2 linked regions of the Rhinolophus ferrumequinum genome follow. The protein of the gene in region 1 binds, or shares a complex with, the protein of each later gene. Links are inferred from orthologs where the notes say so. Each region holds a gene or a part of one and is shown on either strand. Other genes may lie near its edges.

Region 1 (10,664 bases):
ATTCAGATTTAAAGATGCACACAGGGATGAAAAAAGTGATGAAAATTTTTTTTCCATGAAAATGGAAATGAAACAAACACAGAAACAAAAAAATCTGGGGTAGCAATACTTATACCAGACAAAATATACTTTAAAACAAAAGCTATAATAAGACACAAAGAGGAACTCAGTAATTCCACTTCTGGGTATCTATCTGATGAAATCCAAAATGCTACTTCGAGGGGATGTGTGCATCCATATATTCACTGCAGCATTATTTACAATAGCCAAGATGTGGAGGCAGCCTGGGTGTCCATCAATGGGTGAATGGATAAAGAGGAGGTGGTACATATATACAATGTAATATTGCTCGGCAGGGAAGGGAATGGGTTCTTGCCATCTGTGATGGCATGGATGGACCTGGAGGATATTGTGCTGAGTGGAGTGTTAGACAGAGAAAGACAGATGCAATGTGATTTTGCTTATATGTCTAAAGAACAAAACAAATAAAACAGAAACAAACTCATAGATACAGAAAACATTTTGATGGTTGCCACATGGGAGGGGGGTTGGGAATGGGTGAAAAGAGGTGAAGTGCTTAAGAGGTACAAATTGGTTGTTATAAAATAGTCATGGAGATGCAGGGTATAGCATAAGGAATATAGTCAATAATATTGTAATAACTATTTATGGTGTCAGATGGGTACTAGATTTATTGGGGTAATAGATGGTAGGGGGTTGAGGGACACTGTGCAAAAGGTGAAGAGATTAAGAAGTACAAATTACGTCTGAAGTACAAGATTAAGAAGTTACAAAATAGTCATGGGAATACAAAGCACAAGGAACATAGTAAATAATATGGTAGTAACTATGTATAGTGCGCGGTGGGTACTAGACTTGTCAGGAGGATCACTTCTTAAATTACGGGATGTGGAAAAAAGATATGGTGAATGTTTAAATTTAAAAAATTTGTTACAGTAAAAGACACATTGCCATTAATCCCCCTCAAAACATTTCTCCTCCCTTCGAACACACTTATCCCATCATTCTCGCCACTTTCTGAAGCAATTCTAAAAGTCCTCTTTCTTGTTGTGGCTCCTTTGATGTCCTGAATCTATTCCAAATGTTTATCTTTCATGGACATTTTGACTTTGGGGAAGAGCCAGAAGTCGCATGGTGCCAGATCTTGTGCATAAGGTGGATGAGGACACACTCTGTTTTTATTTGACAGAAATTGCCATACCAGAAGTGGTGTGTGATATGGAGCATTGTCATGATGGAGTCTTTCCATTGTGATCAAGAAATACAGTGAATGCTGCTGCAGAGTGCCATCCAACAGAAAGGCAGGGATGCTTCAATGGGAAGTGGTGCGTCAGACCTTAGTATGCGAGAAGTTTGATGCAGTCAGTCAGGTGTGAGCTATGATTGAGAGAAGGTGTGTTTTAAAGTGTTCTGTAAATCATCCATCATCATGACAATTGCTCCATGTCACACATCGCTTCAGGTATACAGCAATCTCTGTCAAATAAAACCATTACGGTCTGTTCTCATCCACCTTATTCACCGGATCTGACATCGTTCAACTTCTGGCTCTTCCCTAAAGTCAAAATGATTCAGGACATCGAGGCAGCCACGACAGCGCAACTAAAGACTCACGAAAGAGGACTTCCAGAACTGTTTCAGAAAGTGGCAAGAATGATGGGATAAGTGTGTTTCAAGGGAGGGGGAATATTTTGAGAGGGATTAATGGCAATGTGTCTTTTAGTGTAATAAATTTTTTTATTTAAACATTCACCATATTGTTTGATCACACCTCATATATGTCTAGCCACTATGCCGTACACCTGAAATTAATATAAAGTAATAATAAAAAAAAGAAATGTGTGAATATCAAATCTCTTGAGGAGTAGGAGTAGACAATAAGGGGATAGGGAGTATGAATATACCACATTTTGTTTATCCATTTATTTGTCGATGGATATTTGGGTTGTTTTGACCTTTTGGGCATTGTGAGTAGTGCTGTTCTGAACATGTGTGTAAAAGTAATTTAGCACCTGTTTTCAATTCTTTTGGTACATACCCAGCAGTAAAATTGCTTGGTCATATGATAATTCTGTTTAACTTTTTGAGGAACTGCCAAACTGCTTTCCACAGCAGCTGTAACAGTTTACATTCCCACTATCAATATACAAGGGTTCCAATTTCTCTACATCCTTGCCAACACTTATTTTTTAAAGTTATAGTCATCCTAATGGGTGTGAAGTATTTCATTGTAATTTTGATTTACCTTTCCCTCATAACTAAAGATGTTGAACATCTTTTCATGTGCTTATTGGTCATTTGTACAACTTCTTTGGAGAAATGTGTATTGAAGTCCTTTTGCCCATTTTTTAACCGGTTGGTTTATCTTTTTGTTGTTGCGTTGTAAGAGTTCTTTACGTATTCTGGAGAGTAGACCCTTATCAAATATATAATTGGCAAATATATTCTCCCATTCTGTAGGTTTTCTTTTTACTCTCTTGATAGTTTAAGTTTGATGCACAAAAGTTTTTAATTTTGAGGAAGTCCAATTTATTTTTTCCTTTGTTGCTTGTGTTTTTTGTATCATATCTATGAATCTATTGCCAAATCCCAGGCAGTGAAGATTTACCTGTATGTTGTCTTCTAAGAGTTTCATGATTTTAGCTCTTATATTTAGGTCCTTCATCCATTTTGAGTTCATTTTTGTATATGGCATTAGATAAGGGTCCAAATGCATTCTTTTGCATATAGCCAGTTATCCGAGCACCATTTATTGAAGAGATTATTCTTTCCCTATCAAATAGCCCTGACACTCTTGTTGAAAATCAATTCAGTATATACGAGTATGTTAAGGTTTATTTCTGGACTCTTAATTCTATTCCATTGGGTCTACATGTTTACATTTATGCCATTACTAGTTTTGATTACTGTAGTTTTACAGTAAGTTTTAAAATTAGGAGTGTGTGTCCTCCAAACTTGTTCTTTTCAAAGATTATTTTGACTATTTGGGGTTCCTCTGCAATTCTGTATTAATTTGAGGATCATATTTTCCATTTCTAAAAAAAAACTATTAGAATTATGATAGGGATTACATTAAATCTATAGATCACTTTGGGTAACATTGTAATCTTAACAATATTAAGTCTTCTAATCCATAAACATGGATGTCTTTCCATTTATTTGAGTCTTCTTTAATTTTTTTTCCAGCAATATTTTGTAGTTTTCAGTGTACAAGCCTTTCACCTTCTTGGTTAGTTATTCCTTAGCTATTTTATTCTTTTGCATTATATTTTAACTGTGTGTAGATTTTTGAAAGCCGTATTGAGGAGTCACATTCAAAGCAAAGAAAACCATGTAAGAGATTCACATCTCTTATATCTCTTACCTCTGTATTAGGCGAGCTACATCTAGCTGGGAATGGCTGAATCATCAAAGTGGTGTGGTAGGGACAAGGTGAAAGAGTGAGCAAGAAGTGAGTATGATGCCTTACAAACTATGAGAGGTGATAGATAGCCAACCAGGGATTCGGGGCTCTCCCGGAAGTCTAGTTAATACCTTCTCTCTTCTTTGACCTCTTAGACATCTTTCTGCCCTCTCAGTCATAGCTGATGATCTCATTGAGACAAAGAAACCATTAAAAAGGAACTCCCTCATTTCCACATACTAAGTCATTATTCCTATCTGTATGTGCACCCATGGACTCCTTTCCCCTTGTTACCAGGGAGCAGGTGATTTTTCTAGCAAAGGTCACTTTCTACTTGGGTTCCCTGCCCACATACTCAATACTTTGCTGCCTCAGATATCCCCTTTCTCTCTTCTTCATCACTGTTTCTCTCTCCATTGCTTCATTCCCATCAGTCTGCACACTCTGTATAACATTTATGTCATTTATGCCCCCATCTTAAAAACACTCTCTCTTGACCCCATGTTCCCCTCGAACAACCACCTAATTTCTCTGTTCTATGCAACAAATTTCTTGGAAGAGATGTTTATACAAGATTTCCTCTACTCCTCAATTTTTATTAATCTTTTAAAATTTTACTTAATAGGTAATATATGTACATGGAAACAGAGTCCCTCTATTTCTGTACCTTAGCCATCAAGCTCCCTCCCAGGAGGCAACAACTATTCTCAGTTTCTTGCATAATTCCTTCAGAGATAGTCTATAAATTCAAATATACATATAGTACATATGAGCAACACAAATAGTGAATCCTAATGTAAGTCACGGACTTTAGTTAATAATAATATGTCAATACTGGTTCAATTATAATAAATGCATCACATCAATACAAGATATTAATAATAGAGGAATCCTTGAACAGGGGAAAAACGGAATATATGGGAGCTCTGAATTATCTGGTCAATTACCTGGAAAACTAAAACTACTCTAAAAAATAGTCTATTAGTTAAAAAAATAGCTATCGCACACTACTCTTAGGTCAAAATGAAAATCAAAGCTAAGAAAATCAGACTATGTAAAATATACCAATAATATAAAGCACTATAAGGTATATTAACAGTTAAAGCAGAGCCTAGGTGAAAGTTGGTAGACATAAATATATATAGTAATAAGATATATGAATATAAATAACTTAAGCATCACTATAGAAGTTAAAGCAGAAGGAATTAGTAAATTCCAAAGCAGAAACTAAAGAATCAGAAAATAGAAAAACGCTGGAAATAATAAATACGAATGCAAGAACTGGTTCTTTGAAAAAACAAATAGTAAAAGAGACAAACTATTAGTTAACAGAGGAAACTGGTGGCTGAGGAAGGGGTGGATGGGACATTTACTTTAAAACTGAAAAATGAATGCATTATTAAATATTTCAGACATATCAAAAGGCACAGACAATAATGTAAGACACAACTGTGAAACCACCACCAATCTAAAGAACAAAATATTACCAAAGCATTTGAAGCCCCTGTGCACTTCTCAATTACATCTCCCTCCAGTTCACCACTATCTTGACATTTTAGTGTTTATCATTCCAATGCATTTCTTCATAATTTTAAAACATATATGCCCCTAAAAATTTACGTAATTTTGCATGTTTTGAACTATATAAAGGTGATTTTACACTATTCTTCAACCTGTTTGCTTAACCGTTTTTTAGATTATCCATGTTAGTAGATATAGCACTAGTTCACTCCTTCTACCTGCTATATACAACAACCACGTTGTATAAATATACCAAGGTTTACTTATTATTCTCGTTAATGACAAGTTTACAGCTTTTTTTGCAATATAGTGTTGCCATGTACATTCTTGTATCTGTAGGTGTATCTTTGGGCACGAGTGCAAGAATTTTCCTAGAAGTGAGGTAGGCACGTGTAATTTCACTAAATAATTCCTAATTGCTTTCCCAAGCACTCCTGTCTATATAGACTACCAAATAGTTCCAGTTGCTGCAATGCTCAACAGGGAGACGGCGACTTTTCACTCTACATTTTGATGTTGATGGCATTTCACGTTATACAATTTCTTGAATTTTTATTTCAATTTATCCTCACAAAAAGCCTGTGGGTTGGGTATTATTATTTACATTTTGAAGATGAGAAAAAAATCTCTTCGTTTTAAGACGTTTCTTTTCTTCTTTTTAAGAAGTGTCTTACTATTCAACTTAGATAATTGCACTTTTTTCATGCCAGTCTTGGAAAAACTGTCTGCTTGCTGGCGGTTTCACTGGGTATCCAGAGCCGGCAGCTTTCCCCACTCCTCCACCTCTTCAAAACCTGCTCGACACTCCGCCACTCCGAGGCCATTGCGGCTTTGTAACGCGGTAGAATAACAGAGTTTGGACCACTGGAGTCACCGTAGTCCTCCCCTCTTCTCCCTCCACCTCTTCGGTGCTTCGAGGGAGCCCTCCGCCGCGCTGGAGTAGGCGGGGCCGGCGACTTCGGGAAGTACCGCGCTTCGGGATAGGCCAAGGCTTGAGGCACTAGCGCTCCGGTCTCCGGAAGTGCTGCTGTCTCTCTCTGTCTTTCTGTCTCTCTGTCTCTGTCTCTCTGTCTCTCCCTCCCTCTCTTTCCCCCTCCCCTCCCCCTCTCCCTCTCCCTCTCCGTCTCCCTCTCTCTCACTCTCTGTCTATCTCTCTGTCTCCTGAGCCGCAGTCGCTGAGGTTGGACGGCTGCCCCGGAAGTCCTCCCCCTTTCCCCTCCCGTGGCAAACATGGCGGTGGACTCAGCGATGGAGCTGTTATTTTTAGATACTTTTAAGCACCCGAACGCTGAGGTAAGTCTTCACTATTTGATTCTGACCCTGCTTCTCGACTTTGGTACCCTTACAAAAAAATCCTTAGGCGTGCTTCCACTTTTCTTCCTGCCGGTTGCCGCTTTAATTCCTCACATACACCCCCCCTCCCTCCCAGCAGTGTGTGGGTACTGCGTCTGAGGGAGGGCAACGGTGGCCCCCACATTTCTCTGCGTTGTTACCTCAGGCTCCCGCCTCTTTGGTTGAGGTGGCTGCTCAGCTTGTTTTGCTCTCCCCCTCCCCCCTTCAGCTTTAGGCCTTGAAATGATCTTGGTTCTCAGGTGTACCTCAGGGGGTGTTTGGGAAGGGTCCTCAGACCGCTTGTGTTTGACAGTAGTGCAGGTAACCGATCAGCTCACCTTGGCTTCGTGGTTCCTAACTCCCTTCTACTAGGTCCATTTCCTAACGGGAGTTGGGTTGCCCAGATGTGGCACTCATTCGGTTTAGGATTGCGGCGTTCTCCAGTTTGCCCTGAAACTTTAATACTTACCTCCTGGAAAGATTTCACTCATTAGGACATGAAATACTTACATGGAACGGCTTTTGCGTGGAGAATACCTGCGAGGAGGGGAAAATTGAGAGAATTGTAGTCAAACTATAAAGCACTGTAGTATTGTCGTTTTGAGGGGCGAGGGTGGGGAATTGTGGAGTAATCGTTCGGTAATAATCTGAGCGGCCCTGAACATATATGACTGGCTCTGCGGTATGTAAATTGAATGTAGCTAAATAGCTATGAGTTCTCGAAAGCCGGTCAAAAATGAACATTAAGAAAGTCCACAGAGAAATTAAAGAAACCTCAGAACCCACACATTTTCTTTCAGTGTAGACTTAATCATTTTAGAGAACTATTCTTTCCTTGGAGATAGTGATAATAGTGGGTAGTGGTTGTATCTTAATGCTTTACTTGACAAAATAAAAAAATGTCAACGTTGGTCTTCTAGTTACTTTAATGAGTGGTTTATAGGTGTATAAAAATAAAATGTTTGGAAACTTTAGCATGTCTTACTAACAATGAATTAATTTGTTGTCTCGCATTTCATGTAGGTCAATTAGCTCTTTGTTCAATGACCATACTTTTCTGGCTGTAATTCCACCTAGGCTTTAGAAAACTCACAATGGAGGCCGTAGTTGGATCAGAACAAACCTGTCATGTGTACAGAAATAGAGAACAGTTAAAAATGAAAGAAAGAAGCATATGATGAATTAGTAGTATTTTAGTTTAGGAAAATTAGCATTCATTCACTTATATATTTAAGAATCTGGTATTTCTTTATTCATTCTTAGACAAACATTGAGGACCATGAGAGGATAGGAACAGTATCCTGGCAATGTTTGGGGAAGGCTTAGTAGAGATCACATTTGAACTGAGTCCTGAAGGAGAAGTGGGAATTTATAGGGGGATATGGATTTTTTTTAAAAAAAATTTTAGTTCTGGATCCTGATTTCCTGGAACCTTTTCCTGTATCTGAAGCCTATTTTTAAAAATTTATTATTTTATTTGTCAATTACAGTTGGCAGTTTATTTTATATTTGTTTTAGGTGTACAGCATAGTGGTTGGACATTTATATAATTTATGACGTGATCCTCCCATTAGTCTAGTATCCACCTGGCACTATACTTAGTTATTACAATGTTATTTTTTGACTTGGGAGGGATATGGATTATTGAGATGTTTTGTTTTAAAGGAGTTTATAACTAAGTATTGGAGAGTAGGTCTACAACATTATGATTCAAGTTAGAATGTGATGAGTGCATAAAGAGACAGAATGCCCATCACTTTCTGACATACTAGGACCCCAGTTGGTATTTATTTAGCCCCCTTTTGTTGGTACAAATAAAGGTTGTGTGATTTCCGAGGAGAGATCTTTATTTGAGAGCATTAGGAAAGACTTCATCAAGGCAGTTGGCATCTCAACTTGATCTTTGGTGGAAGAGGGTATGTTCCACAGTAGTAGACAGGAAAGGAGGATATTCTCTTGGAATAGTCAGTCTTCTGTAGTGTATGCGAAAGTAGCAGTGCGAAGTGGCACCTGAAAGGTGGTTCCAAGCCAGGTCATAGAATTCCTTGATGCTCAACAGAGGAGTACAGACTTTATTTTGTAGGAAATGGGTAGTTTTTGAGCAGAGTTCAGTTTTGGACTTGCTGAGTTTGTAGTGCCAGAGGAACATTCAAATGGGGATATCCAGTTGGCAGTTTGATATAGTGGTTTGGGGCTCCGGAGAGATGTTCGAGGTGGAGATAAGGATTTGAAGTCGACCTCTGGCAGTGGATGAAAATCTTATTTCTTGTAATTTTATTTATTGTACTTAGCTACTCTGCTCTACTTCCCTCTCCCATTTTGCCCTCTCGACATGGTGAACTGTGCTTACAATTACTTGACCCTTCCAAGTTCTTGTTTGCTTTCCTTTTGTGCATGTTTCTTCCTTTGTCTGGAAAGCTCTTCCTTCTCTTTCTCTTCCACTGATTCTTGTTTTCCTTGCAGACTTAATTAGCTCAGGTGCTACTTCCCAGACACTCTTTTCCCCCCATAAATATTTGCTCACAATCAGAGTTAGGTAAATACTTCTCTGAATTTTCAGTTTTCTGTGTGAGTCTGTGTTACAGCAATTTATCTTTCTGTCTACCCCAATAGATTGTTCCTTAATGGCAGAGACTATGTCTTGTCTTTGTATCCACAGGACCTAGCATACCTTGGAACATAATATACTTTTAATAAATGTTTAGAAATAATTGTTGAATAAAAGTGGTAGTGCCTAATACAGAAACTCTTCTACTTACAAGCAGAATATTTTAAAAGGCTGTTTGTAAAATCTAAAGTTCATTTTTGTAGGTCCACAATGACTATACCCTAATTACTACTAATACCATTAATTAATTAATTAATTGAAGGCGTGGTGGAGGAGGATAGAATTGATAAACTTTTCTTCTAAAGTTCCTTTGTAGATACTAATGAGACTTTATAGCCATGTACCACGGAGCTTCTATGTATAGTCATGAGCTGCATAACAACATTTCATTCAACAATGAACTGGATATATGATAGCGGTCCCATAGATTATAATGGAGCTGAAAATTTCCTTTGTCTAGTGTCATAGCTGTTGTAATGTCCTAGTGCAACTCATTACTCACGGGTTTGTGGTAACACTGATGTAAACAAACCTACTGTGCTGCCAATCATATGAAAGTTTAGCACTTAAAATTATGTATAGTATATAATACTTGGTAATAATCAATGACCGTGTTATTGGTTTATGTATTTATGATACTGTACACATTTTAGGAAAGACTAATTTGAACAGTTTTTTGGTCTGTTGATATGCATGATATTCTTCTCAGCTTCAAGAGAGGCTCAAGATTTGGTCCTTCTAGATGCAAATAGCGTGAACCATTCTTATTGTGAACTTTGACCACTAGATAATGATCAGGCTGGCTGAACTGCTAAGAAAAGCAGTCCAAAAGCAATGTGAAATTTTATTTTTAAATTATTGATCACAAGAGCTTCATTTGTTTGATTCTGTGTCATATAATACAAAAAAAATAAGTATACAGTAAATGTATGCTATCCATTTCTTTTATTATGATAAACTCTTAGTTTGTGGATTTTTCTTTTTTTAAATTTCAGAGAGGGTTTACCTCAACTATTCAATACCTAAATTGCTTCCCTTGATCTTTTGATTAGTTGGTATGTTTAGTAGGTTAAGTTAATTTAAGTACAGATCCACAATCCATTATCTGAATTCCATATTTAGAATTCAGGAATTCTAAAATGGCAGAAAAACCTACCCTGAATTCATTTGGCCATGCAATCTGATTTGAACTGACATGATGGTAGTTAATGATCTTTATTTATAGTGGGAATGTTTGTTTATACATGTGACTGCAGAAATATTGTTTTCCTTACAAGATACATGTGACTGCCTCAGAAACCATTGAGTGTGTTAAGTGTTATAATACGTAGTATTTGTATCATATTACCTTTCTAAAAATCTAAAAAGTCAGGAATCTAAAAGGCATCTGGCTCTAGAGGTTTCCAATAAGGGATTGTAGGTCTGTATTGGCCTAAGCAGAACATCAGCGAGGTGAATTGCAGAAAATATTATTACACAAATGGGGAGATTTGACTAGGTATATTTTATCTTCAGCTATTTTATAAAAGAGTGCTTTACACAGCGTTGTAAATAATATAATAGCACTGTTTTAAAGATACAGAGTTTAAGATTATTTGTGACAGTCAGAGTAAAGAGTAAAGATACAGAGTTTAAGATTATTTGTGACATTCTGAATGCAACAAATTGAAGATGAGTAAATTTTGAATAGACAGAGTGTTTGCTTACAGTATGTCTCTCCCTCCCCCCTTTTTAAAGCAAAGTTCTCATATAGATGTGGTTCGTTTTCCATGTGTGGTT
Region 2 (11,156 bases), on another chromosome or scaffold:
AAGCAAATATAGCGTGATGTGTCCCTAACGCAATTGCTTTTTCACTTTATGCCACTGTGGCTTACAAAAGGCTTTACAGGAACGCTCTACTTTTGGATGGGGGAGGGAGGATATACCATAAGATCCAGCATTTCCACTTCTGAGTATATATATCTAAAAAATTTGAAAGCAGAGTCTCAAAGAGGTATTTGTACGCCCATGCTGACAGCAGCATTATTCACAATGGCCAAAAGTGTCCACCGATGAATAAATGGACAAACAAAATGTGGTATAGACACACAATGGAATACTATTCAGTCTTAAAAAGGAAATTCTGACGAATGTTACAACATGCATGATGAACCTTGAGAACATTATGCTAAGTGAAACAGGCCAGTCATAAAAAGACAAATAATTTATGATTCATTTATATGAGGTATCCAGAGTCATCAAATTCATAGAAACAGAAAGCATTGCCAGGAACTGGGGGGAAAGGAGAACAAGGAATTGTTTAAGGGGTACAGAGTTTCAGTTTTGCAAGATGAAAAGTCCTACAGACTTTTGTTATGTGTCTTTATTATGTGTATTTTGACACAAATTTTTAAAAAGTTGTACTTTAGGCCGGCCAGATGGCTCAGCTGGTTAGAGCGCGAGCTCTCAACAAGGTTGCTGGTTCAATTCCCGCATGGGATGGTGGGCTGCACCCCCTGCAACTAAGACTGAGAACAGCGACTGGACTTGGAGCTGAGCTGCACCCTCAACAACTGGATTGACGACTTGACTTGGAGTGGATGGGTCCTGGAAAAACACACTGTTCCCCAATATTCCCCAATAAAAATTAAAAAAAAAAAAAAAAGTTGTACTTTAAAAATGCCAAGCTAACAAAGGTGTCCCAGCTATTCTTTGTCCGTATTAATTTGCATTCATTAATGACATGGATACATTTTAGTTTATTTAATCTCCTTATCTTTTAACATTGGCTCGTTAGTAATCAAGTAAGGATCAGATTTCAGTAATGCTATAAAAACTAAGGTGTGGTAGGAAAATTTTTATTTCCTGTGTGAAAAATACTTAAGGATCTTAACTTTAACCAAGTCTTGTGTTGCATCTTACATAACAACTTAATTAATAAACTAGTAGAATGTGTTTCACGATGTTTTCCTAAGAATCCTACATTCAAAGAAATATCTTCTTTGGAAAAATCAAAATAACTGAAAGAACAGTGATGGGCTGGGTTAATTTGTGTGTTTCATTTCTGCTTATTCACACCATACCAAATGGGCCAAAGCTCTAGGACAGCAGACAACATATATTTAATTACAACCTCAAAAATATTTTTACAGGCGTCTTAACCATATTATTAAGTGGATGTACTAGGAATCTTAACAATATATTATTAGGTGGATATACAAGTCAAGAAGTATTAATATTTATACCCAAAAAAGAATATTTACATTCAAGGGAGAATACAATCTTGTCAAAATTATTAAACATGCTAAGCAAGGACCTGGATGAAGTATCGAGGCTCCAGTGGTTAGGTTTGCATATGGCATAAAGTACACTCTCACGGTTTTAAAACAAGTAATTTCATAGATCATTTTGTTAAAGGATACAACTACTTGAATCCTCAAGTCCCCTTCAAATTGCTACTGCTGAAGGGAAAACAAATTACTCCATACTATAATTAAATATCTCCAGAAAAAATGCACTTACCCAAGGCTGTCACATCTTTCTACATTGCAAAAGAGGCCCAGGGGACTAAAACAGAGTGATAGGCTATCCATGTGGAGAATATGGGGAAGTGACAGAACAAGCCTACATACATTACCTTGTACTGAAACACGTATATTGAAAAGTCAATAACCTAGTGTCCAAATATTGAGTTTTTAGTTATAAAAGAATGGAACCATCAGCCCCTCTTCTTCTCAGCTGATTGAGCAACTCACCAGGATAGCCCACATCCCACTGCTGCTTTCCTAATGACCACTTAAAGGATTTCTTCAACAGGTTCCATAGAATACATGTTTCTCTGATTTCTCTCAAATATTACCCAAATACAATCTGTCTTGCAACAATGTTATTTATTCAATGCAAATCAGTTCATATGCAATTGGTAAATAAGGGATGTCAAAATAATAGAAAATTTGTTGGTTCACATGTGATTTTTCTCATCATGCTAATGTTTTGAAGTGGTCAGGGCAAATATTTTCACAGTTAAACAGAAAATTTTAGCAATATACAAATACCTTAAGAAAAAAAGGTCAGAATGCTATAGAAATGCCTTTTTATGGAAATATAAGCAAAGACAAATAAAAAAATCACACATCACACACTGTATTAGGAAAAATAAATAGCAAAATGCTTTAGGCCATCTGCATTGGAGAAAGAGGTGAAAATCAACAGTAGATTAACAACCATAGGTTAGAAAGACCCAGGTATAACTTTTGAAATTAGGAAACCCTTGGTGGCTGATAAAAATGTACCCAAAATTATACTGCATATATATTAATAGTATCCTTTAATCAGAAAAAATCTTGTACATCATTATCATCTATTTATGCATTATCATTTTAGAACCCAGAAATCAAAGACATTGATGCTTAGATGACTTTATCAAGTTTAAGTAACTAATGAGTGAAATTATCAAGTCTGGGTATCTGGACATCCAGAGTAGTGTCCTTTCTATCATGCTATTACTTAGAAATTTTAAGATACTGTTTAAAAATATTTTTCTAATAAAAACATTAAATTAAAAAAAAAAGGTTTTAAAAAATCTAAGTTGCTGGTTTGGTGGCTTCAAGAAGTGCTACACTTTGCACTATGTTAAGCTATCTGGGATAGATGAAGAAAATGCAAAGGTATTTCCCTTGGTTAAACAAAAACAGACTAATGGATGGAAGCAGAAGTAGGAGTCCCAAGGTATAGACTATGGGGATGGAATGATTTTCATTATATATCAAAACACCAGTGAGATTTAACTATGCTAGTATTTTTAGTAGAATATTATTAGGGTTCTAGTAACAGAGTTACATAGATTTTGAGCAGACTACTTCAAAACCTATTTCTTCTATAAGCCCTGCTATTTTGTAATGCAGACTTCTGCAGAAAGCAAGGTTTTTCAGGAACACACACAAACATACCTATATAGTAAAAATGCCTCTAACTATATCTTTCCAGAATGCTTTTTTTAAAAAAAGATGATGAGATGCTTAAGGCCAGTAACAGGAGTCTATGATACATTAAGAAGCAATTGGGTTATTTCTCTATGATAGTGATGTAATTGTTAGATTTTCCATCTAAAATTGATATGCATAAATAAAAGGCTCAGCCACAGAGGAAACCAAAGAATAAGAAAAAAAAAGGAGAGAAAACTGGATCTACAAGAGGTCAAAGGAATTGAAGTTTATATATCAAGAAATACCTTCTCCCTCTTGGGTAATTCAGTAACTACTCCAATGCTTGACTACTAATTAATCCCTTATCATAGGAGTTGCACTTTTTCCTCTACTCATCCTGCCCTCTTTACTTCTTTTCAATGATCTAAGCCCTATATAGCCATCAAAACCAAATTCCAAGTGCCAGCTCCTCCATGATGCTTTTCATTGAACCAACTCTTGTTACTTCTCCTTTCACTACATTCACTGTGGACTCATTCATTTGGCATTTTACATGTATCATATTGTATCTGACTTGTTATAAGCATCTATCCTTTAACCCCAACTAAATTTCAAATTCCTTGAGGGCAGGGTCAATGTCATACTTATTTTTGTCTAACTAGAGTCATGCACACTGTAACAACTCAATAGATGTTCGTTTATTTATTTATTTTGGTGTGAGAGTCCTGCCAGGGCATTTGCTAGTTCCAGGGACAAGAGTATGTCTGCGTCGACCTGATATGTATCAAGACAAGATTTAGTGATGGACTAGAAGATAGAGATAAACATTTGAACAAGCTACCACTGTCGTATAGAGTCACTATGTTTGTAGATCTTCAAAACTGATTTGCCTTAAATCATTCAGGGCTCATGCTGGGGATGGGTGATGGGTAGGACTTGAAAAATCTTTTGAGGCTCCTTCGTTTTATGCCTGACACGGGGGACACGGGAGGGGAGAAAAAATTTAAAAACAAACAAAACCGTTTTCAGATTCCTGCTCGGTATGTAAATGACTGAAACAATGTCAGTTCCTCTTCTCATTTAGTAAAACCGAGTGCAACTCTGTGAGGGCCACTGAGATGGGCACTGTGGATATTAAGATGCGGTGCTTGCTCTCTCGGTGTCCCGTCACAGATAAACGACCACTACCAACCAGTCGCTGTAACCGACAGGAACAAAGCGCCATAGAAGCAACAAAAAAAGGGGACTTGCTACTTCGAGAGATAGGGCTGAGACCTGGCAAACGCGACATTCTTTAAGACTTAAGAGGAATCAGCCAGGGGACGGGGGTGGGGCACAGGCGTCAAACCCAGGAAAGCGAACGCAAGGAACCAAAGCCCAGGGTGGGAAGGAACCTCAACTACTTGCAGCGGGGCGAAGCATCTGTGCTACTGAGGGACGAAAGAGAGTACCAATGAACAAGGCATTAAAGAAATAGCCGCTTGGAGAAGGGCTCTCACTCGGGAGCGGTCTTTTTCTACAGGGATCCCTCCCGCACACCCCGGCTACGCATGGGCCAGGATAGCCCCGCGCCTCACCCAGGTGCCCCGAGTCCTGCTTCCGCCTCCGCTGCAGCCTCTCCCGCAGCGAGTCCAGCTGCTTTTTGTGGGCCTGGATGGAGCTCCACGTGTCTGACATCCTAGTCTCACAGCCTGGACAAGTCTCGAATCAGGCGCGGCGGACTAGCACCTCCCAGCCGGAATTCCAGGAAATATTCAATTCTCTCGTGGACACCCCAAGGCGAACCGGAAAGAGATCCCGAGAGATGGCCTAGACGGAAAAGTCACTTCCGGTTTAGCGTTCGCTTTGAAGCTGAAACGAAAGCCATCTTAGGTATTGGCAGGATGGAGGACATATTTTTTAATTGGGCTTCTTGCGTCCTTCCGGGAGCAATGAGGCTGTGGTTGCCATGTTGGTGCCTGGCAAAGAGGCCATGTTGCTTATAGGCGCGCATGCGGCCATGTTTGAGCATAAGGAGATGCTTCCTGAGGGTTGACCTTAAAATAACACTAGTACAGCAGCACGTGTAGTACCGGTATTTAAAATGAAGGATCACTAATTCGTCTCGGCCAAGTTTGATACATACCTTTTCCACTGAAGGTGTAGTGGGTTTATGGTTTCATGCATTCATTTGCAAAGAGCTATTACATTAGTTTCCGCCCTATGGATGTGTATGCGTGGGCATGCTTCTCAGAGAGAAGGAGGACTGATGGATCGATGGTAATATAAGGGGTCTACAAATACATATTCTCACTCTTCTTAATTATATAACATCTACAAGTATCGTGTAATACATTGAAATACAGTCCTCATAAGGGCACATAAAGGGGGCTTCTGAGGTTCAGGTTGCATTGTGTTTCTTTTCTGGATGCTGTTTGCATGAGTATGTCATTTGTGAAAATCAACTGAGCCAAAAATTTTGGTATGTGCACGTCTCTGTAGGTGTAGTAAACTTAAATTAAAAACTTGTATTAAAAATATAGTTAGTATGTAATACTATACTAGTTTCAGGTGTACACAGTAGTTACTCAATCTTTATATACCTAAAGAAGTGATCACCATGATAAGTCCAGCAACCATCTGACACCATACAATACTATCACGATATATTGACTATATTCCCTATGCTGTACATTATATCCCCATGACTTACTTGTTTTATACTTGGAAATTTGGATCACAATTGCCCTTCACCTTTCCCGCTTTTTAATTTTTTCAGTTTCAGTTGACATTCAATATTATTGTCATACAGGGTGTCATGCAGGGTCTCTGGTCCCACTGCCCACCTAAGAACGCAGGATATGGTGAGACCAAAAAGGAACAACACAGAGCCATAGATAGGGAAGTCATACCACTATATTCTCGCTGGTGGCCGGGCAAGACACACACAGTAGGATCCACATAATCGGCAGTCCCCCATTCGTTTCTTCTGCCTGCCAATCAACCAACCAATCAATGCAGTCCCGGCAGTTACATCAGTAGCCAATTGGCTAAACGGTTACAGCTGACAGCGAACCAATCACAGTTGATTGTCATTCATTACCTGAGCCAGCACCTCCCCACAGGAGGCTGAGAGCCTGGAAACTGCTCTCTGGGACTGTGTCCCCACAATTATTTTATATGAATTTCAGGTGTACAGCATATGGTTAGACATTGATATAATTTAAAAAGTGATCCCCCAGTCTGGTACCCACCTGGTGCTATACATAGTTATTTCCATGTTATTGACTATATTCCCATGATTATTTTGTAACCACCAATTTGTACTTCTTAATCCCTTCCCCTTTTTCATCCTGCCTTCCAAGCCCCCTCCCATCTATCACCCCGATAAATCTAGTACCCGTCTGACACCATATGTAATCATTACAATATTACTGACTATAATCCTGATGCTATACCCTATATCCCCATGACTATTTTGTTACAACCAACTTGTACTTAATCTTTCCCCCTTTGTCACCCCCTCCCATCTGGCAACCATCAAAATATTCTCTGTATCTATGAGACTGTTTCTGTTTCGTTTGTTTATTTTGTTCTTTAGATTCCATATATAAACAAAATCACATTACATCTGTCTTTCACTGTCTTATATACTCTACTCAGCACAATACTCTCCAGGTCCATCCATGCCACCACAGATGGCAAGAACCCATTCCCTCCCCTGCCTGAACAATATCCCACTGTATATATGTACCACCCCCTCTTTATCCATTTTGTCAACAGACACCCAGGCTGCCTCTGTATCTTGGCCATTGTAAACAATGCTGCAGTGAATATACAGATGCATACATCCCCTTGAAGGGGCATTTTGGGTTTCTTCGGATAAATAATGGGATTACTGGGTCTTTCTTTGTCTCTTCTTTCAATCTGTGTGTGTCTTTTAATCTGAAGTGAGTCTCTTGTAGGCAGCATATATAACAGTTTTGTTTCCTTATTCATTCAGCCCTCCTAAGTCTTTTGATTGGAGCATTTAATCCATTTACATTGAAAGTAATTGTTGATAGATATATATCTACTGCCATTTTATTATTCGTAATTTTATTTTCTTTTTTTCCATCTTAAAGAAGTCCCTCTAACATTCCTTGTAATACTGTTTGGTGGTGATGAACTCCTTTAGCATCTCTTGTCTGGGAAGCTCTTTATCTGTCCTTCAATTTTCAATGATAGCCTTGCTGGGTTGAGTACCCTTTGTTGTAGGTCCTTTCTTTTCACCACATTGAATATTTCCTGTCATTCCCTTCTGTCCTGCAAAGTTTCTGTTGAGAAATCAGTTGGCAGTCTTATGGGAGCTCCCTTGTGGGTAACTAACTGCTTTTCTTTTGCTGCTTTTAGGATTCTCTCTTTGTCTTTAACCTTTGCAATCTTCATTATAATGTATCTTGGTGTGGGACTATTTGGGTTCATCTTGTTTGGGATGCTGCAATTCCTGGACTTGAATGTCTATTTCTTTCACCTGGTTAGGAAAGTTTTCAATCATTATTTCTTCAAATAGATTCTCAATCCCTTGCTTTCTCACTTCTCCTTCTGTTATGACTGTGATGTGACTGTTGTTATACTTGATATTGTTCCAGAGGTCTCTTAAACTATCCTCATTTTTAAATTTATTTTTATTTATTTATTTATTTACTTATTTACTTATTTACTTTGCTGTACTGATTGGGTGTTTTCTGCTACCTTGTCTTCCAAATTGTCTATTTGATCCTCTGCTTCATCTAGTCTGCTGGTGATTCCTTCTGGTGAATTCTTCATTTCAGTTATTGTATTCTTCACTTCTGACTGGTTCTTTTTTATGGTTTCTATGTCCTTTTTATGCTTGCAATTACTTTGTAGAAGTTCCTTGAACATCGTTATAACCGTTGTTTTGAACTCTGTATCTAGTAAGTTGCTTGCCTCCATTTTGTTTAGTTCTTTTCCTAGAATTTTCTCCTGTTTTTTCATTCAGGACTTATTTCTGTTTCCTCATTTTTGCTGCCTCTCTGTGTTTGTTTTTATGTATTAGGTAGGGCTGCTATGTCTCCCAATCTTGCCGGGTGGCCTTAAGTAGTAGGGATCCTGAGGAGCCCAGTGGCACAGTCTCCCTGGTCACCTGAGCCGGGTGCTCCAGGAGTGTCCCTCATGTGGGTTGTGTGTGCCTTCCTGTTATAATTGAGCCTTGATTGCTGTTGGCATGTCAGTGGGTGGTATTGACCCTCAGGATGTCTGGCTATGGCATTTGGCCACATCAACAGCTTATGGGCTGCTGTGCTGGGGGCTTACCCCATGGAGTGGGATTTGCCTCAGTGGGCTCTGGTGCTTCTTGAGACCACCCTTTGTTTGTGCCACTTGTGGGGCCAATTGGGCAGTGTTCTGAAGCCAACCTCCAACTATTTTGGTTCTTGGGGCCTTTGGGGAGGCCCAGGTCAGCCACTGCTTGTGATTGGCCAGGGAGTACCTGGTAGGAACTACAAAGTGATCCACATTTGGTCCTTGCCTGTGCTATACCTGGAGGCCATGCTGAGAACCAAGGACAGCTGCCACCAGTACAAGGTCTGGGGTAGCTCTGCAAAAAGCCAGGACACCTGGAGGCCTGCTGCCACCTGCTGGTTCTCGTCCGGTTCAGCCGCTAATAAAGACTCCTGCAGTATGCAAGTTGGGTGAGGCAGGGTCTCAGTGAGTCAACAGGGTGGAGCAGTGGAGCTCACCAGGCCAATCAGATTCAGATTTGGTCCATGGGGGCAGGCTCAACACAGGAAAAATGTTGCCCACCTGCTGCCTGCATTCAATCAGTGCCCCACACAGGGAAAATGGGGACTGTCCCTCCAGTCCTCACCCCAAAGTTACACAACTCAGTCTCTCCCTATGTGTCTCCAATGCACCCCAAGTCACCATCCTCCACCGGAGCCAAGGCTGAATGCCTGCATGGGCCCTTTAAGAGGATATCTGGGTTTCCTCCAGCCTTCAGTTGCACCCAGATGGTTGGAATCCCCATTGTTTTTCACAGCCAGAAGTTGTGAGCACTCCTCTTCCCAGAAACATACTCCAGGCTGGGGAGTCTGCTGTTGGGGGCTGGGGTCCCTCGCTCTTTCGTGGGGAACCTCTGTGGCTGACATATCTCTCCCAATTTGAAATCACCACACGTGAGTGTGGGACCAGCCTGTTTCATGTCTCCACCCCTCCTACCAGTCTCGATGTGGCCTCTTCTTTATAGCCTTAGTTATAAAACTTCTGTTCAGCTAGACTTCAGATGGTTCTCCAGGTTGATTGTTCTATTAATTTGGTTGTAATTTTCATGTGTTCATGGGATGAGGCAAGTACAGTGTTTATCTGTTCTGCCATCTTGGATCTCCCTAGCTCTAAAAGTTGTGTATTTTTAAAGGTGTCCTCTGAATGGGAGCATTTAGAAACCACTGATTGATCAAATGTCTGCATGATGCCAAACATTGTGTCAGAAATAATAGCTTGAAAAGTCATGGCTCCTGTTTTCAAAGAGTTTCTAGCCTGGTAAACGACCTAAGGCCCAGTTCATTAATATTGAACTATCCCTATTTGAGGCCAGGTTGCAAACTCATGAGTAAAGAGCTTGCAATTTATTCAGAATATAACAGGGAATAATTTAGGGTTTGTGAATAGGGAGTGTTTTAAGGTTGGTCTGGTGTTCTAGTTGGATTGAGATGGGGAGGAGAGTTTAGAGATAGGGAAAATGGTTAGTAGCCTATTATAACTAAGTGTTTAATGATAGGAGCCTTATTTAATTCAGAAGCTGGTTGTGGATAGTAACGGAAAGGAAACAGTAAATATGAAAGGGAGGTATTGAGAAGAAAGATGTATATGTATTGGAATGTGGCAATTTTATCCATTTATTCAGCAAATATTGAGTGACTACCACATGCTAGGAAATTAGTAGTGATCAAAATATTCTTTTCAGGGGTTGCCAGTTAGCTCAGTTGGTTAGAGTGGGGTACTAATAACACCAAGGTTGTCAGTTCGATCCCCGCATGGGCTACCGTGAGCTGTGCTCTCCTTAAAAATAAAAATAAAAAAAAATTTCCATCTCATTTTTCTGAATTTAATTTACTTAGTAGGTCATTTACACTGTCTTTTGAGATGTGTAACTTTGTATATGAACCTAGAAGAAGAGGACACAGAAATGAATATGCACTCACCTGAGCATCTCTGGACATTTAATTCGCAGGATTACACACAATAAGAAGCAAAAATGCTGTCTTCCTCCGGTGCAATACTCTTGGGAAAGTTGGCTGATGTGAGATCATGGAAGAATGCTCAAGGGGACTGCTCTACCTAAAGGTTTTTGCTTCCTTTAGTAACCTCGGTCTAGCAACTGCTCTCAGTACAGTTAATAAGGGATGCTTTTGTATTTTCATTTGGGGTGTATCCTGTGTGGCCTTATGCTTAGACATATGTATTATTACTAATGTAAGATAGCCCTATTATTGCTATATTATAGCACTGTTAAATTAATAGTTAATTATTCACAGGTACATTTGAGATCTTGCTCCCCAGCATGTCGTCAGTTTGGCTCAAGTAAACTCTTATGAAGGTTTAAAAAAAAGAAAAAATGAAACCAAACCAAAACAATTAATTGTTCACAAATCTGAATCTCTCACTTGTTATAAGATTACTGTTTCTTTCAAGGTCCTTAACATATAGAAATGAAATATACAGAAATTATATAGTAGTGAAACTAAATAATCTTGAAGGACAAAAAGAGTTCTGGATACAGCCTTGCAGAAGATGAAGGGGGTTGATTATCTTAAAGACAGAATTCTGTAGGTCAACCCCTAAACAGTATAAGCATTTTTGTCTAGGAAAGGATTTTCTGGTGGAAGAGATTTAGTCTCTGGTAGAATCTGAGATTCCTAAAGCCTGGATTGCCTCCTCTGACATACAGAGGAAGCCAAAGAAATAACGCAGGTACTTCTGAAATCAACCAAATCAAGGGCAGCTCCTGGAAGTCTTTGCTTTCACATTCACTTTGGGTAAGTTATTACGGTAGTAAATTGGCAAATTTTAAGAGCATAGGAG

What was found. Proteins that work in one complex are often made in the same cells at the same time.
Region 2: VIRMA (region 1) and METTL3 share a complex: the UniProt entries of both Homo sapiens proteins name them as parts of the WMM complex. The link is inferred for Rhinolophus ferrumequinum from reciprocal best matches to the Homo sapiens genes VIRMA and METTL3.

The regions. Positions count from the first base shown.
Region 1 is NC_046297.1:35,888,681-35,899,344, reverse strand, and holds the start of VIRMA (protein virilizer homolog), read left to right. Parts: upstream 1-5,922; 5' UTR 5,923-6,175; coding exon 6,176-6,238; intron 6,239-10,622; coding exon 10,623-10,664. UniProt on the Homo sapiens protein: Associated component of the WMM complex, a complex that mediates N6-methyladenosine (m6A) methylation of RNAs, a modification that plays a role in the efficiency of mRNA splicing and RNA processing.
Region 2 is NC_046289.1:72,311,705-72,322,860, forward strand, and holds the start of METTL3 (N6-adenosine-methyltransferase catalytic subunit), read right to left. Parts: upstream 4,882-11,156; 5' UTR 4,773-4,881; coding exon 4,673-4,772; intron 1-4,672. UniProt on the Homo sapiens protein: The METTL3-METTL14 heterodimer forms a N6-methyltransferase complex that methylates adenosine residues at the N(6) position of some RNAs and regulates various processes such as the circadian clock, differentiation of embryonic and hematopoietic stem cells, cortical neurogenesis, response to DNA damage, differentiation of T-cells and primary miRNA processing.